Linked DNA regions of Saccharomyces cerevisiae S288C. The gene in region 4 interacts genetically with the main gene of each other region. Each region holds a gene or a part of one and is shown on either strand. Other genes may lie near its edges. The genes, in order: IXR1, PMR1, PPH3 and DUN1.

The links.
Region 1: mutations in DUN1 (region 4) and IXR1 together harm fitness more than expected from each alone (negative genetic interaction), as found in Saccharomyces cerevisiae (7 studies listed by BioGRID, with this or other methods).
Region 2: mutations in DUN1 (region 4) and PMR1 together harm fitness more than expected from each alone (negative genetic interaction), as found in Saccharomyces cerevisiae (5 studies listed by BioGRID, with this or other methods).
Region 3: mutations in DUN1 (region 4) and PPH3 together harm fitness more than expected from each alone (negative genetic interaction), as found in Saccharomyces cerevisiae (7 studies listed by BioGRID, with this or other methods).

Annotation. Positions count from the first base shown.
Region 1 is NC_001143.9:379,562-383,799, forward strand, and holds IXR1 (DNA-binding transcription repressor IXR1), read right to left. Parts: upstream 2,298-4,238; coding exon 504-2,297; downstream 1-503. Other genes in the region: MAE1 (malate dehydrogenase (oxaloacetate-decarboxylating)), read right to left, coding at 3,155-4,238. UniProt on the Saccharomyces cerevisiae protein: Binds to platinated DNA and confers sensitivity to the anticancer drug cisplatin. Activate the expression of the COX5B gene.
Region 2 is NC_001139.9:187,067-192,316, forward strand, and holds PMR1 (Ca(2+)/Mn(2+)-transporting P-type ATPase PMR1), read right to left. Parts: upstream 3,403-5,250; coding exon 550-3,402; downstream 1-549. Other genes in the region: SUA5 (threonylcarbamoyladenylate synthase), read left to right, coding at 1-273; HUR1 (Hur1p), read left to right, coding at 398-730; CUP2 (Cup2p), read left to right, coding at 4,063-4,740; YRB30 (Yrb30p), read right to left, coding at 4,912-5,250. UniProt on the Saccharomyces cerevisiae protein: This magnesium-dependent enzyme catalyzes the hydrolysis of ATP coupled with the transport of calcium. Has a role in the secretory pathway.
Region 3 is NC_001136.10:595,300-598,669, reverse strand, and holds PPH3 (phosphoprotein phosphatase PP4 catalytic subunit PPH3), read right to left. Parts: upstream 1,515-3,370; coding exon 588-1,514; downstream 1-587. Other genes in the region: putative DNA-dependent ATPase RAD55, read right to left, coding at 1-202; trehalose-phosphatase TPS2, read right to left, coding at 2,087-3,370. UniProt on the Saccharomyces cerevisiae protein: Forms the histone H2A phosphatase complex in association with the regulatory subunits PSY2 and PSY4, which dephosphorylates H2AS128ph (gamma-H2A) that has been displaced from sites of DNA lesions in the double-stranded DNA break repair process.
Region 4 is NC_001136.10:279,807-283,439, forward strand, and holds DUN1 (serine/threonine protein kinase DUN1), read right to left. Parts: upstream 2,043-3,633; coding exon 501-2,042; downstream 1-500. Other genes in the region: DNA-directed DNA polymerase delta POL3, read left to right, coding at 1-359; guanine nucleotide exchange factor GET3, read right to left, coding at 2,306-3,370; BUG1 (Bug1p), read left to right, coding at 3,613-3,633. UniProt on the Saccharomyces cerevisiae protein: Transducer of the DNA damage signal. Phosphorylates SML1 on serine residues. Cooperates with the PAN deadenylation complex in the regulation of RAD5 mRNA levels and cell survival in response to replicational stress.

The DNA.
Region 1 (4,238 bases), on a different chromosome or scaffold from region 4:
TGCTTTGTAACGAGTGTTTCTGACATGTTTCAAACATATTTTATGTGTAAGTTGATAAGTCGCCCTTGTGTATCGTACAACTATGCCACTTTAAAATGATCAATTTTACAGATTAATAGGTTTCGTGGTCTAGTCGGTTATGGCATCTGCTTAACACGCAGAACGTCCCCAGTTCGATCCTGGGCGAAATCAATTAATTTTTTTGGCTTCATCACGCTCGTCAGTTGAGCTCGCACAGCATCAGAGGCAAACTTGAATTTGGCTTAAGTATATTACAAAAACAAGAAGGAGGGAAGACTACACACATGCGTATATGTATACAGGCAAATACATATAGACTGAAGTTAGAAAAAGGGAAAGAAAAATTATTATTAAATAAAGTAAAATTTGTAGTAATAGGAAATAGAGTAGTACAATATAAAACAAATGTTGAAAAAGGAATTCCTTATTCTCGTTGTTTGCGTGGGATAATGTTACAGTGGAAAACTAAAGTTGTTTATTTGTTATTCATTTTTTATGATCGAACCATTTGTAGTGGGGTCAGCCAATAACATGTGTTGTTGTTGTTGCTGCTGTTGTTGTTGTTGTTGGAGCGGCTGCTGCTGTAATGAAATCGGAGGAGAAACGGGCGTATTTGGGTTGGTACTGTTACTGTTGCTTCCGGTAACTGAGTCGATGGCATTTGCGGTTATGTGCTCGATACTGTCTTGGTTCTCCATGATTTTAGTGTCCATATTCAAATTCATGTTCATGGCCTTATGTGAGTGACCGGTTGGGTTACCGTTTGGATCATTTTCGTCGGGATAACAACTTTCCCATTCCTTTAATCTTTTCTTGTAAGTTTCAGTGTATTCCGCCTTTTTGGCAGGGTCTAACTCGCGCCATCTTTCACCGATTATCTTGGTAATTTCGATTAAACCTTTATCAGGATTTTCCTTGACGACGGTAGGTCTAATCTCCTGGGTGAACTGAATAAAGGGACCAGAGGGTCTCTTTGGGGGCAAAGTCTTTTCGTAAGCATCTCTCACAACTCTGTACTTCTCCCAGTTGGTTCTGAATTCTTCGTAGAATGGTTTTTTTTGATCATCCGTTAACTCTTTCCACCTTGCAGAAGCCAATTTAGACAATTCGGGGACCTTTGCTTCAGGGAATTGTTGAAGCAACTCATTTCTTATGGACATAGAAAACAGGAAATAAGCGGAAGAAGGTCTCTTTGGGCCTTGCTTTTTCAGTTGTTTTCTTCTCTCAATTCTGCTTTGAGTGGAAGATAATTTCTTCACCACTGGATGCTGTTGTTGCTGCTGTTGCTGTTGTAGATGATGATGTTGTTGTTGAAGTTGTTGTTGTTGTTGCAACTGGTGTTGCTGTTGTAGCTGCTGCTGTTGCTGCAACTGCTGTTGTTGTTGTAATTGCAGCTGTTGCTGCATCTGCTGCTGGTGGTGAGTCAATTGAGGTTGCAGATTGGGTGGTAACAAACCAGGATGAGTAGCGGTGTTGGCATTTCCTGCAGCATTTCCTGCAGAGGAAGGGTCCAAAAGACTAGACAGAGCGTTCATGTTGTTCGGGTAGTATCTCTGCACCTGTGGGAGCTGAGACAAGTACGAAGCCGGGCCAGCAGCATTGTTTGCGGCGGCCGCAGCAGCCGTGGCAGGGTTTAATTGGGAGGCTGCCAGCTGGGCAGGATTACTGCTAGTGCTGTTATTGCCGCTACTAACATTGTTGTTGTTACTGTTGTTGTTACTAGACGCGCCTGTACCCGTGACAGAAGGGTTTGTCTGTTTTTGAGTTAAATGACTTAAAAAGGAGTTGTAAAACTCGGAAAATTGTTGTTGATTGATCGTCGGATAGTTTTGGCCCGATCCGGTTTGTTGCATGTAACCGAAATCCTGAGGTAGCGCGTTAACATTAACATTGTTGTTTGAATTTGAGTTCGAATTAGCATACTGTTGTTGTTGTTGTTGCTGTTGTTGTTGTTGCGACTGCGAAGTAGGTTGCGTCAAAGATTGTGGAGGTAGTGGATAATAAACATTTTGCTGTTGTTGTTGAGGCGACTGCTGGAAGTGACCTTGATAAGGCGCTTGTTGTTGTTGCTGTTGTTGCTGCTGCTGCTGCTGTTGTTGTTGTTGAGGCTGGGCTTGAAACTGGTTCAAGTATTGGTGAGGTGTCTGGTGAGAAGCATCTCTGTACTGGGAGTCGTTGTGTTCGAGACCCTGATACTGCAGCGAATGGTCTTGGCCTATGTTGAGTAAGTTGGAGTTAGAGGCGTCGTCCTGTTTGGGCGAGATACCGGTGTTCATTGCAGTTGTGGGTACTGTTAGCGTCGTACGTATATCACAGAATGGATAGAAGAAGGGGATATAGTTGTGGTCTTGCCTTGACTTGCGTTGCCTTGCCTTGTCTGTGTGTAATAGAGTTCTTTGTGGGATATCAGAGCGAATAAACTTCAGCGTCACAGTCTCGGTAGCAGTAGCTGTTAGGCAGTGACCTAGCAGTAGAGGAAACAGAATACAATGCAGTACGATTACGGTACAGAGGATAACGAAGTAAACCACATTTACAGCGAGAACGAGAGACAGAAGGAGAGAGAGAACGAATGCGCCGGGCCGTGTCTATACTTGGCTCCACCAGCTGATGTGTGCATTTTTTTTTTGTTCCCATTCGTTCTCTCACCAAGGGGAGGTGGAAAAGAAAAGAAGAAAAAGAAAGTAAGGAAGGTCCGCTGCGCCTCTCCTTTGCTGCTGTTGCATCCGGACATCACACCCAACACAAAACCCCGCGCGGCCGTCGTCAGTAACCGTTCCACCCATTCCTCCACGGTATGTAGATCGCTAAGCACGATGTGTATGTTTTATGGATATGTGCCGATTTTTTCCGCATTTGGTATCATATTTTGTTTTGATAATTACCGTTCTTGTTATTGCTAGTTGCTTGGGTTAATGTTCTTGTGCTATTGTTGCTGTTGTTATTGTTTTTATTATTGTATTATTGTATTATTATTATATTATTATTATTATTATTATTATTATTATTATTACGGTATGTCAAGTATTATTTTTTTTTTAAAAATAAAGAAAAAAATTGTACAAATATATATATTTATATATTACTCTATATGGTTTTTTTTTTTTAAGTGCAGGCGTTGGTTATGCTTCGTCTACAATTGGTTGGTGTGCACCGATGGGTCATGTTGGACCTTGATCATAGGTCTGTACACAGGCTCCCACATTTGGGCTTTGACCCACTGTAAACATTCGTCAAAGTCACGAGGAACCTTGACAGTTTCGCCGGGAGCTCCTCCCGGTACTTGTTCTTGCTCGATACGGGCGGTTCCCTCCTCGAGTGCTTGCAAGATCACAGCGGTAGCTAGACGCGCAGAAGTGTTGGTGATGGTGTCCAGGCCGGGTAGCAACCCAGGTCTCGAGTCGCCCTCTCTTAGTGGCGACAATTCGGCTAGTTGGTCCACTGCAGCGGAGATCATCTTGTCTGTGATGGTGGTGGCACGCGATAGTACGGCACCTAAACCGATACCTGGGAAAGAGTAACAATTGTTGTTCTCCGAGATACGGTAACCATCAACAGGTGGGAAAGGAGATCCGGTAGCTACAAGAGCGTTGTTGTTGGTCCACTTCATTAAATCGGCAGGAACGGCTTCGTGTAGTCTAGTAGGGTTGGATAATGGGAAAATGATCGGTCTAGGATTGTGCTTGTGCATTTCTTCTACGACATCTTGAGTGAATGCGCCTGCTTGTGTGGAGCAGCCAACCAAACACGTTGGTTTGACGTTCTCCACCACATCATGTAAAGAGCGGGTGTTGATACCAGCCCATTCCGCATCACTCTTAGCGTATACGTGTTGGGCGGGAGTGGAGTTAGCCTCGTAAGATTGTAGAATTAACCCACGTCTGTCCATCAAGAAGATTTTCTTGCGCGCTTCTTCCTTGTCAACGCCGTGCGTGACCATATGATTCACAATTTGATCTGCGATACCGAGGCCCGCAGACCCGGCACCGTAAATAAGCACTCTGGTGTCTTTCAAGTCTCTGTTGGTATGTTTCAAAGCAGCAATCAACGAGGCCATCACGACGGCACCGGTGCCCTGAATGTCATCGTTGAATGATGGCAATTCGTACCTGTACTTTTCTAGTAATCTTCTAGCGTTCTTAACACCGAAATCTTCGAAATGCAGAACGGCGCTTGGATACACTTTCTTAACGGCCTTGATGAATTTTTCCAAGAAG
Region 2 (5,250 bases), on a different chromosome or scaffold from region 4:
ATTGCGATTTTAACTTCCCTAAAATTACGTGATTCCGACTTACAATCTAAGATCTTTAATGAACCCGATTTTTCTTCGAAAACTTTCATCATCGAAAGACTTGGCCAATCTGGTGAAGAAATACAGACTAACTTGTTTGCAGCTTTAAGAAAAGTGGATGAAAATGATAAAGTAGACCTAATATTTGTCGAAGGTATAAATGAGGAAGGAGAAGGATTAGCTGTTATGAACAGATTGCGAAAGGCGGCTGCAAATAATTGTATACAGTTTTAAATAAAACTGTGATTAACTTTTGAAAATCATAACCACTGATTACGGAGATTTTATATCTAGTCCGGAAAAAGAAGGAAAGAATAAAATTTTATATTGCTTTGTATATACGAAAAGTCGCCCATACATGTTTATCTTAGTATCCGTTGTAAATATATGTACATATATACATCTACATATGTTCCCATTAATTAGTACATTTACCTCAATAGGGTTGGGCGTCCTCATGAAAGATAAAGGGAAGGAAGGAAAAACGATAAAAGCACAAAATGTGACATATCAAACATTTGAGAAATACGTTGAGTCTTCTTCATTCTTTTTCCTCGTCCACAATTTTCTCAATTCATCAACGATGAAAACGCTACTGCTGATGAGCAATAACAATAGTATATCAGAGATACCAAGTTTCTCAGTTTTAAAGATACTTTGGAAAAATGGTATATATATAGCGCACATTTGACCTAACAGAGACAGTCCAACGGCGTAGTTGAACATTTTGTTCGTGAAAAAGCCGATTTCGAAGATTGACTTTGTGTTATGTCTGCAGGCCAAAGCATTAAACATATCAAAAAAAACAAAACAAGTAAATGTCATAGTAGTATCTCTAGCAGTTACTTTACCATCTTCGGCCATCTCTTTAACAAAAATGTAAACTGTCCCAACGATGATACAGGCCGCGGTGGTTAGTAAACGTTTCATTACATCATGGGTCAAAATTTTATCGGTACGTTTTCTTGGAGGTTTTTTCATAACTTCATGATCAACAGGTTCCACACCTAAGGATTGAGCTGGTGGCCCATCCATTAAAATATTTATCCAAAGAATTTGCATTGCGTTCAGTGGATTGGGTAGTTTAAACGCTGTAGATAGTGCAACTAATGATAGTGCGGCAACAGAAGTAGACAATTGAAAAGTCAGGAAATTCTGAATATTATTAAAGATACCTTTACCCTCTTCAATGGCAGTTAAAATAGTACTGAAGTCATCATCAGTTAAGACCATATCTGAGGCTTCTTTGGCTACATCTGTACCAATTCTACCCATAGAAACACCAATATCTGAAAGTTTCAACGCAGGAGCGTCGTTAACACCATCACCAGTCATTGCTACCACATCACCCCTCTTTCTTAATGCACGAACAATGTTTAACTTATGCTCAGGCGTAGCACGAGCAAAAATATTAACGTGGTCGATGACATTGGCCAGTTGATCATCTGACATTTCATCTAATTTATCACCGGATAAAACGGAAAGCTTTGGATCAATAACTGGAATACCAATTTGTTTTGCAATGTTTACTGCGGTATTCTCAGAATCACCAGTGATCATAATAATATGGACACCACCTTGTAGTAATTGTTCGATGGCAAATTTAACGTTCGGTCTTGGTGGGTCATTCATACCGATTAAACCAGTAAAGGTTAAATCTTTGATTAGGTCTTCGGTTAGAGGAGTTGATGAATCAGACAAAGTTAGTTTAGCAAATCCAAAGACACGCAAACCTTCAGATGCCATAGAATTTGCGCACTCATTTATCGTAGCTTTTTGGGCTTCAGTCAACTTTTCAGTTTTTTTACCCTTTGATTTCAAATAACTTGTGGAGTACTCAAGAATTCTTTCAAATGCACCTTTAACATAAACTGTACACTTATTGTCGACAGGGTTGAGAATCTTGGTTGCCATTAATTTTCTTTTCGAGTTAAATGGAAGTTCCTGAACTTTTTGAACGGTGTTTCTGATATCAGGCATTTCAAAGTTTGCCAATTGCTCTAAAAGAGCTACATCAGTAGGATTTCCCAGAAATATGGCATGTTCTTGAGAGAAAGATGCATTATTACAGAGATTACCGATAGTTAGAGTTTCCCTAACGTCTTCAGTCAAATAGTTTTTCAAATTTCCATTAGAATTTTTAGTCTTCTTATTTTTGTCTAATGAGAGGACGTTTAGCTTATTGGACATACTGTCCAAGCACCAAAGTTTAGATACGGTCATGTGGTTTGAGGTTAGTGTACCTGTTTTGTCGGAGCAGATAACGTTGACAGAGCCTAAAGTTTCGACACTTGGTAACCTTCTCACGATGGCTTTACGCTTGGCCATTCTCAGAACACCCAATGCCAAAGTAACAGTGACAATAATTGGTAACCCTTCTGGAATAGCAGCAACCGCTAAGGATACCGATATTTGGAACATTTCTAACCAAGATCTACCTTGTATGATACCAACTAAACAAATCATACCAATAACTATGAAGCTAACCAGTGACAAGTCCTTTCCCAATTTGTCCATTGTTAACTGCAATGGAGTCTTCGGTTTTTCAATATTATTCATCATTTCAAAAACGGCACCAAAGGATGTGTTTGTACCTGTTCCTACGACGATACCCTTACCATGACCTTCCTTGACTAATGTACCCATATAAGCTATACAAGATCTCTCAGAAATCGGTACAATTGAATTAGGCTGATCGTTAAAGGAAGATTTTTCGATCGTTTGTGAGGTTTTATGTACCGGTTCATTTTCACCAGTTAAATTACTTTCATCGATGGATAAATCGATTGCTTCAATAATTCTAATGTCTGCGGGGATTCTGTCACCTATTCTGAAGTGCACTAAATCACCAGGAACCAAGGTGGAAGCCAGTACATGACTCTCTTGACCACATCTCATTAAGTGACATTCAGCAGGAACCAATTTATTCAACGCTTCTAGAGATTTTTCAGACCTATATTCTTGGACAAAACCGACAGTGACAACTATGAAAATGGCCAGTGTGATACTAACAGCATCATCAATGTTACCCATAAAAAGAGAGACCACTGCGGATCCTATTAAAAGTAGAATCATTCGATCCTCAATGAAATTTGACAAGAACTTCTTGAAAAGACTTTCATCATCTTCTACGGTTATTTCATTGGGGCCATAAAGTGATCTCCTATTGTTGGCCTCGTTAGATGATCGTAAACCACCGTTTTTGTCAGTGTCCAGTTTTTCTAGAGCTTCGTCCACGGATAAAGTACAATACTCTAAAGAAGGGCTTGGTTTCGAAAGGGCCTCTGCTGTGGCATCTAGTATTTCTCTCTCACGGTTTGAGTCCTCGTCAAGAAGACTCGCATTAAATGGATTGTCACTCATAATTATCTTATCTTTTACTTACACTTAAGCTTACGTCTGTGCTGGCCTTGCTTCGTCTTGTCTTGCCCAGTCGTAAGGATATTATTATAGTTACTAGTATTGTTATAAATGGGAATGGAAAGAACGGGGCGAGCAAACACTATTATGATGGTGTAGAAAAAGAGGTTTTTCTATTAAGTGCTTGAAGGAAGGGCTATAGTGTACGATGGCCTAGGGAACAAGATCTCGATATAACGATAGGTAGGGTCCACACTGTTAACAAAAAAAGTACTTCTTTAAATAGAGAATCTTGTCTTGATGTAACAAAATGAAAAAAAAAAAAAATGCAACTAGAATGTAGAATACAAAAGTTTAACGATCGGCTTTGCTGTTAAGTGGTTATCTAGGGATGAGCTGAACGTGCAATTGATACCAACCGATCCTTGCTAGGAACGCAACTCTTTTCACCCACCTTCCACCACTACGATCGTGAAAGAATATTTGCTAAGAAAATCGCCAAAACGAGGCGAAGTCGCCAGGGTGCGCGGGCACGCAGGGTAAGAGCCGCAAGGCCTGGTTCGGTAAGTATTAAGCTGTGGACGAAATAGCAGTAGCCATGGCGATGTAATTTATTAGACGGCGGCTTGATAAAAGAGGACTGATAATCAGTGTATTCACAGAATGGTCGTAATTAACGGGGTCAAATATGCCTGTGAAACGTGTATCAGGGGTCACAGGGCGGCGCAGTGTACTCACACTGATGGTCCGCTACAGATGATCAGACGCAAGGGAAGACCATCGACCACATGTGGCCATTGTAAAGAGCTGAGAAGAACCAAGAACTTCAACCCATCCGGTGGGTGCATGTGTGCCTCTGCACGACGGCCAGCTGTTGGCAGCAAGGAAGATGAAACACGATGTCGTTGTGATGAGGGTGAACCTTGTAAATGTCATACCAAGAGGAAAAGCAGCCGGAAATCAAAGGGAGGGTCATGCCACAGAAGGGCAAATGATGAAGCAGCGCATGTCAATGGTCTCGGTATTGCAGATCTGGACGTTCTTTTGGGCCTAAATGGTCGCTCGTCGGATGTAGACATGACAACCACATTGCCGAGTTTGAAGCCACCTCTGCAAAACGGAGAAATTAAGGCCGACAGCATTGACAATCTTGATTTGGCTTCCCTCGATCCGCTTGAGCAAAGCCCTAGTATATCTATGGAACCTGTTAGTATCAATGAAACAGGAAGCGCATATACAACTACGAACACAGCACTAAACGATATTGACATTCCATTCTCCATCAATGAGTTGAACGAGCTATACAAACAAGTATCTTCGCATAACTCACATTCACAATAATGCATCTGGACATCTATATAAATATACATATACATATATTGGCGGTTGTTTGTTCTCCCGGCAAGCTGGCAGTCGGGCCGAGATTCGGATAAATTTTTCCATTCGTATACATATACATAGATATATACAATTATAAAATTTGTCCAAGGCTGCACAGGATACGTAACCATCCTAAAGTTTTAGGTTTTTTAACTTTTTTTCTGTCTCTTCAATTGTCGAATTGCTTATTCTATCCTTTCTGGAGTTCGTATTTTCATCGTTCAAATATATAGATAACCTTTCATCACTCACTTCCAATATACTTTTCTGATCGTTACTTTGTAAGGACGTCAGCCGAATGATGTACTCCAGTAGTGTGATCGACGAATCCTTGTCCTCCAATTTATTTTCTTCTTCTTCTTCTTCCTTTCGTTCTTCTCCGTCTTTTCCTTCCTCTTCGTCCTCCTCTTCATCTTCCTCTTCATCTTCCTCTATCGCTTCATATCCGCTTACCGCATACCAAGTAATGTC
Region 3 (3,370 bases), 320 kb from region 4:
CCGATTGTTGTATGCCTTCTAACGAATTACACACCAATTGAATGCCAAAATTAGTCTTGCCAATGCCCGGAGGCCCAAATATTTCGTAGATCGACCTTGCCTGGAATCCCAGGTTTAATATCTCATCTAATCCTGTGATGCCGCTACTTAATGGCTTTGGACTTTCTACTATTAATTGGGAAAGTGGTATACCAAGCGACATATTTTCATATTATATATTATTAATAAGTTCTTTTCCTTATCTAAAAGCTTTCCTTAATGTACTTGACATCTTTGATAGCGGAGCTTATTATTAGTTAGTCATGCTACTATGTATTTTTTTCTATTTTTCATATCAAACGCGATGAGAAGAGAACACGTGAAGAACTTAGGGGACCTCCGCATCTATAACATATTCTACTGAAGAAAAAAAGGAATAAAAAATAAAAGAAGAAACGGTAGCTGGGTATATATTAGTATTCAAAAGCCATATTGTTAATTAGCTAAGATGTGAAAAGAAGTATGTAATATTACAATTTTTTTTCCTTTATTGCATTATGAAGAAAAAAAGAAAAATGCACTTGACAATTAGAGTGCCTGTTAAAAATTTATAAGAAATAGTCCATTTGAGATTTTTTGGTTGGAATTATAGCATTTCCGACTTCATTTTGTGCCTGAACAGCTTCAAAAATTGTATATTCACGATTCAAATCGTCGTCTATCTTCAATACAGCTGCTACATTACCACAACGATAACAGTAATTCGGTGCCGACCAGACTGTCACTAATCCACCGTCGAACATTTCTTTGTAACCTTCCATCACTAACTGATGAGCTCTAGCAATTAACTCAACGTTGTTTTTCTCTAAGAATTGATCAACTTCTCTTTTACCGAAAAGAAATCCAGCACCTCTTGGTGATAATGACCATGTGTCAACGTCTTCGGGGTCGCTCCATAATAAGTCACACATAGCACCTTCATGTGGAACTTCTTGTTTCCTGTCTATTGTTCGTATTTCATCAACCGTGGTCATATCCGGAGATAATCCACCATGAACACAGAATATGCTATTGTTTATTATTGCCCCCAATGATAAATAATCAAAAACTTCACAGCAGTACCTCCATACGTTACTATTACCATATTTTCTTACTACTTCATCGTAAAATCCGTATACTTTAGTAATTTGCCGGGTTTCGTGATTGCCTCTAATTAAAGTAATCCTATCAGGATATCTTAATTTGTAACATAGTAAAAGTAAAAAACTCTCCAATGAGTAAAATCCCCTATCCACAAAATCGCCCAAGAAAATATACCTTGTTTTCTCTACACCACCACTCTTTTCGAAGAGCGTTAGTAGATCGTGTAATTGGCCATGTATATCACCGCATATTGTAACCGGTGTATCGACTTGTGTTACATTGCCTTCATTCATTAATAGTTCCTGTGAATTTAAACATAGCCTAAAAACGGTTTCTTCAGGAATATGTTTTCCGTCTCTCAGTGATGCTATAATCTTATCTAAGTCCATCATATCTCCCTTGAAATTTGTAATCACTTTTTTCGTGCTGTTTTACTTTGCTACGTGGACTAGCGTGTGACTACAAGTTAAAGTGTCCTGAATTGCAAAAGAAAAAGCTGAGAGGTTAACGTATAAAGAGAAAAGACCTCTGGTAGTACCCTCTTTTACCTACCGCTGTTTCGACGTGCTCTTTTCGAGATGCCGTTCTTCTCCTCAGTTCACATGATAAAGATACTTTTTTTCAATTAATTCATCGATTTTTTTTCTTCCCGCCGGACATTGTATTAAATTTCTTTTTCTCATTAATAAAACAAAGAACAATGATATTTATTAAAAACCGTTTAATAGTAAGGATAATAGTGAGAAGTTACATATCATATAAAGTTATTACATATTGGAAGTTTATAAAAATATAATGTGTATGTAAATCTTCGAAAATGGTGGGTTGAGACTATTATATATATGCCTTCGTCGCAACACCACATATTGACTGTTCAAATACAATACAAAGAAAAAAATAAAGCATGAAGGAGTAAGACGTAAGATGTCTGTCTAGTCATAACCATTTCGTTAAAAAGGGTGTTTCAAACCTTTGCGCCGGTGTAAGAAGCCGATCTTTTCATAACATAAGCTTTAGATGCTAGCTTTGATTTCAAACTGCTCTCACTATTCTTGACATGACCTCTGGAATCCAGGTCGACCGTACCAGCACTTTGGAAGAGAGAGACATCACCAACAAGTAAACCTAAAGTCTCCAGGACTTGCTGAGGATCGGTTAAATGAGCCTTTGCGACAGTTTTCTTGGATGCAGATCCCACAGTGACAGGATAGAATCCGTAGTTGCCCCATTGATTTTTTTGGTCAGGATATTTTTCTTTCCAACAAGTTTCAATGGTATTCAACTGTCTAAACATGTCTTCGTCAGTGAAGTCATCACCCAAACATAATACAAAATCAGGCATTTCATCCTTAGGTAGTTTTTCACTGATTCCCTTCAACATGTCCTGTGGTTTGCCATGTTGATGCCAGACTAGTCTCTTGACTATTTCACCTTTGTTGACGAATCTTGGACGAACTTCAATGTTTGCTTTACCATCCATGACCTCTAAATCAAAGTCATCAGTAAATGATAACAATTTTTCTTTCAGTTCTTTGGCGTGGAATTCACCCAATTCTGGAACGGTACGTCTATAATGCCAAGTTAGAGCGACTTTCTTTCTTTCGATGAATGAACCTGGGGTCCTTGTGGTAAATTCTTCCATCACTTCATTGACGCGTACTTGCCAAGACATATCAACTTTTTCGGTCAAATTGACCCAATCTTGGCAAGAAACATCTTTCATGAAACATCCATGCTCCGCACTTAGACCCAGTTGAGGAAGTTTACCGCCTAACCACTTGTTCAAAAACTTCTGGTCACGACCAGAAATAATCCAGATTTGATTATGAGGATCAGCACATAATTTTTGTAGAATTGTATAAAGTCTTGCCGATGGAATAGCTGCAGCTGGGTCTTTGACAATTGGGGTCAAAGTACCATCGTAATCAAAAAGGAACAATCTACGCTTAGCCTGCTTGTAATTTTCTAAAAGAACAGGTCTATTAAGTGCTGGAGTCATTTTCCTTTCCATATCATCATTAGATGACGCCTGTTCCTTTAATGAACTCAAAAACTTATTAGTCCAATCTTGAATTGTAGGAACTTCTTTCCATAATTTTGATTCTAAATTGGACTTTTCTTCCTTGTCCAATTTCAAAGCCATGTTAATAGATTTAGCCACGGCCACCGAATCCCATGGGTTAACCACAATGGCATCTTTCAATACGTTACTAGAGCCAGAAAACTCACTTAAGATCAATGGATTTCC
Region 4 (3,633 bases):
CGAACGGTATGTTCGTTGTGAAATCCATTAAAATTAACACAGGCTCTCAAAAAGGAGGCTTGATGAGCTTTATTAAAAAAGTTGAGGCTTGTAAAAGTTGTAAAGGTCCGTTGAGGAAAGGTGAAGGCCCTCTTTGTTCAAACTGTCTAGCAAGGTCTGGAGAATTATACATAAAGGCATTATACGATGTCAGAGATTTAGAGGAAAAATACTCAAGATTATGGACACAATGCCAAAGGTGCGCTGGTAACTTACATAGTGAAGTTTTGTGTTCAAATAAGAACTGTGACATTTTTTATATGCGGGTTAAGGTTAAAAAAGAGCTGCAGGAGAAAGTAGAACAATTAAGCAAATGGTAAAAAACGATAGGGTGGCACATCATATTAGGATTAAGAAAGGCTAACAACTTTTTGCATGTTGGTGGATATATATGTATATATAAATAGATACTTGGAAAAATCCAGATTCAAACAATGTTTTTGAAATAATGCTTCTCATGTTTAGAGGCAAGATAATTCTGAGTATGTTTTGGGTATTTTATTGTCAGTAATTTGTAAACGCTGCAATTCTAATGAGACCGAGCTTTGTTGCTGTATGTCATTGAACCAAGGGTGGTTCAAAGCTTCATCTATATTGTACCTTTCATCAGGATTTAGGACCAAAAGATTGGATATTAAATGTAGTACTGAGTCATCGATTTTATCCCAGTACGGAGAGTAAAACGCATACTTAGCTTGTAAGATCTGTTCCTTCAATGAAGGTGGCCCCAATTGATCACTGAATGGAGGAAAACCACATAAACAGACATATAATATGACACCAGCACTCCAAAGATCTACTTTTGATGTGTATCCTTTCTTTGTGAGGACTTCGGGCGCTACATAAGAAGGCGTACCACAAAGTGTGTTTGTGAATTGCATTTCTCCTGTAAATTTTGCTAGGCCAAAATCCGCTATTTTAACTTGAATATCAATTTCATCTTCATCCCATGGGCCAAGTTGGACTTGACTTGGATTTTCGCGCCTTGTTATATTTAATAAGATATTTTCTGGCTTGATGTCTCTGTGAATGATGTTTTGCTCATGCAGATACTTCAATCCGGTAAGTAACTGTTTGAATAGAGCTTTGGATTCATCCTGTCTCAAACATGTTTTTCTGACGATTCTTTCAAATAGTTCGCCATCGTCGATCTTTTCCAGTACCAAATATTTTTGAATCTGAGATTTGCTGATTGGCTCTACAAAACTATCTAGTAAGTTGACAATGTTTGGATGTTGCACTCTCATTAGGATGTTAGTTTCCTCCCTAAATTGTTTATTCTTTTTTTGGTCGTCATTTTGCTGAGCGTGGAATATTTTCACAGCTACTTGCTGACCAGTTTTTTTGTTTTTGGCTTCTTTCACCAGGGCGTAGTGCCCTGCACCTAATTCTTTACCTAATAAATATTTATCAAAGAACGACACAGGCCTTGTCTTATTCAGTTTTCTAATTGCGGCACTCGTTGTAGCATTTTGGCTACTTGTAGCACTTATTTGCGGTTTCTTGAAAACTTCGTCGTCGTTCTTATATGAACGACTTTCTGAACTTACCTTTTCATCGTCATTTTCGATGTCAGTAGAAGATGAAGATGCGTACTTGAACAAAAAGGAGCAACTTTTGCCAAAGACAATTCTGTCACCATTCTTAAGGATGTAGTCTTTCTTCACCAAACGATTACCATTAATAAAAGTTCCGTTTCTGCTCTTATCGATAACATTAATCAAATTTCTTTGGAAATTATCCACATCCATTTGCAGTAGATGAAACTCAGCATGGAAAGTCGAGATGTCAGGCTCACTCAATATAACGTCGCACGACCTACTTCTACCGATTGTAGTAACGTTTCTATTTGTTATTTCCACTTTTTGCTCCTTTCCGGGTATTAAGTTCACCAGATGGCCCAGACAAGTGTATTCTGAGCTGGGCTTATTACTTCGTTGCTGTCTTTTGAATGAAGAGTCAGTTACATCACCAGAGTGCTCTCTTTTCGTGGACAAACTCATCTTCACTATAATTGCCTTTTTTACTGTATGTTAAGCCCCTTTACTTGTTACTCTCGACTATAAAGGGTTCTCATTTCCTCCTTTTTCAACAATATCTAATAATTTTCCAAAATCATTTGAAAAATACCATGGAAATAAAATGGAAAAAAGTAAACAAACGCGTCGCGTCACGTAATTTTTTTCTTTTCACACACATACCATCGTATTACTATTTTTTCTATGGTTATATGTCGTATGTATCTATTTATGGTATTCAGGGGCTTCTATTCCTTATCTTCTAACTCATAAATGACTTTGCCATCAGTAATAGGGTTATATTCTTTGTTTAGGAACTGTGAGAACTTTGTTAAGTTATTTAAGCCTCTGATTTCTCCAGCACATAATGGCATTTTAACGACATGGAAATCTTCGTACAATTCGTCGATTTGGTCCAAGTACTTCTTTTGCATCTTCCATCTTGCCTGACATCTCTTACAGTTGTGCTCTTGATCGTTTTCAGCAAATAATAATTGGTTGACAATGATGGAATTAACGTCCATATCGTAGGAAATCAATTCCTGAATTAGTCTTTCAGTTTCATATAAGGATAAGAATTCACTGATACAAACGCAAACAAAAGTCGTTAGGTCAGGATCCGTGAATTGTTGTCTGATGGTCTCGACATTAGCCTTTAACTCGTTCAATTTTCCAGAGATATCGACATTACCTGCGCCCATAAAAGAGTTTAGCATTGGGCCCAATTTGTTGGTAATTTCACCGAACTTTTCCAAAAGCTTGGATAAAGTATTTGGTAGTTGTAGAAATCTTAATGTGTGGCCAGTTGGAGCAGTGTCAAAAATAACAGTATCGAAGGTTTCACCTTCGCCCTGTTCTTGCCTTTTAATGTGCTTCATGACTTCCATGAAGGATAAAGCTTCGTCGATACCAGGGATGGAACCGGTCAAATCAGCAAGAGCACCACCTTGAAGCAAGCTTCCTAGATCGTCACCTTGACCGTCACTTCCGTTATTGTTAGCGCGTGAAACTGCCATGTCGTTCATATCCTTCAAAGCAGCGGATGGATCGATTTCCATACATGATAGATTATTCATGCCTGTCACCTTTCTGGCGTCTTTACCAAATTTCTCACCGAATGCATCACTTAAGTTATGGGCAGGATCAGTAGAGATCAGTAGGAACTGTTTGTTTGGTTGACTCAAAGCCATTTGGATAGCAATGGAACATGATGAAGTAGTCTTACCAACACCACCTTTACCACCAACGAAAATCCACTTATGAGTGGTAGAGGTAATTAAAGAGTGCAAATTAGGTTCCACGGTTAAATCCATAATTACAATGTGATGATCTTCTTGTTCTTGTCGTACGTTTTCCTAAACGCTGCGTTGGCTTCCCTCAACTTGTTTGAAGTTGCCACCGTTTTATCCATTTTCGCTTTTGAAAAAAAAAAAATGGTTGAGAATCCCCAGCACTATTAATTAGTACTATTGTTACGAAGATCTTGTGATAAAAAAGGGATGTAATAATTTGCATTGAACCAACCTGAATTGAGCAAGTTTATCATATAGTTACAATGTCTGAACAGGAGTCTGAT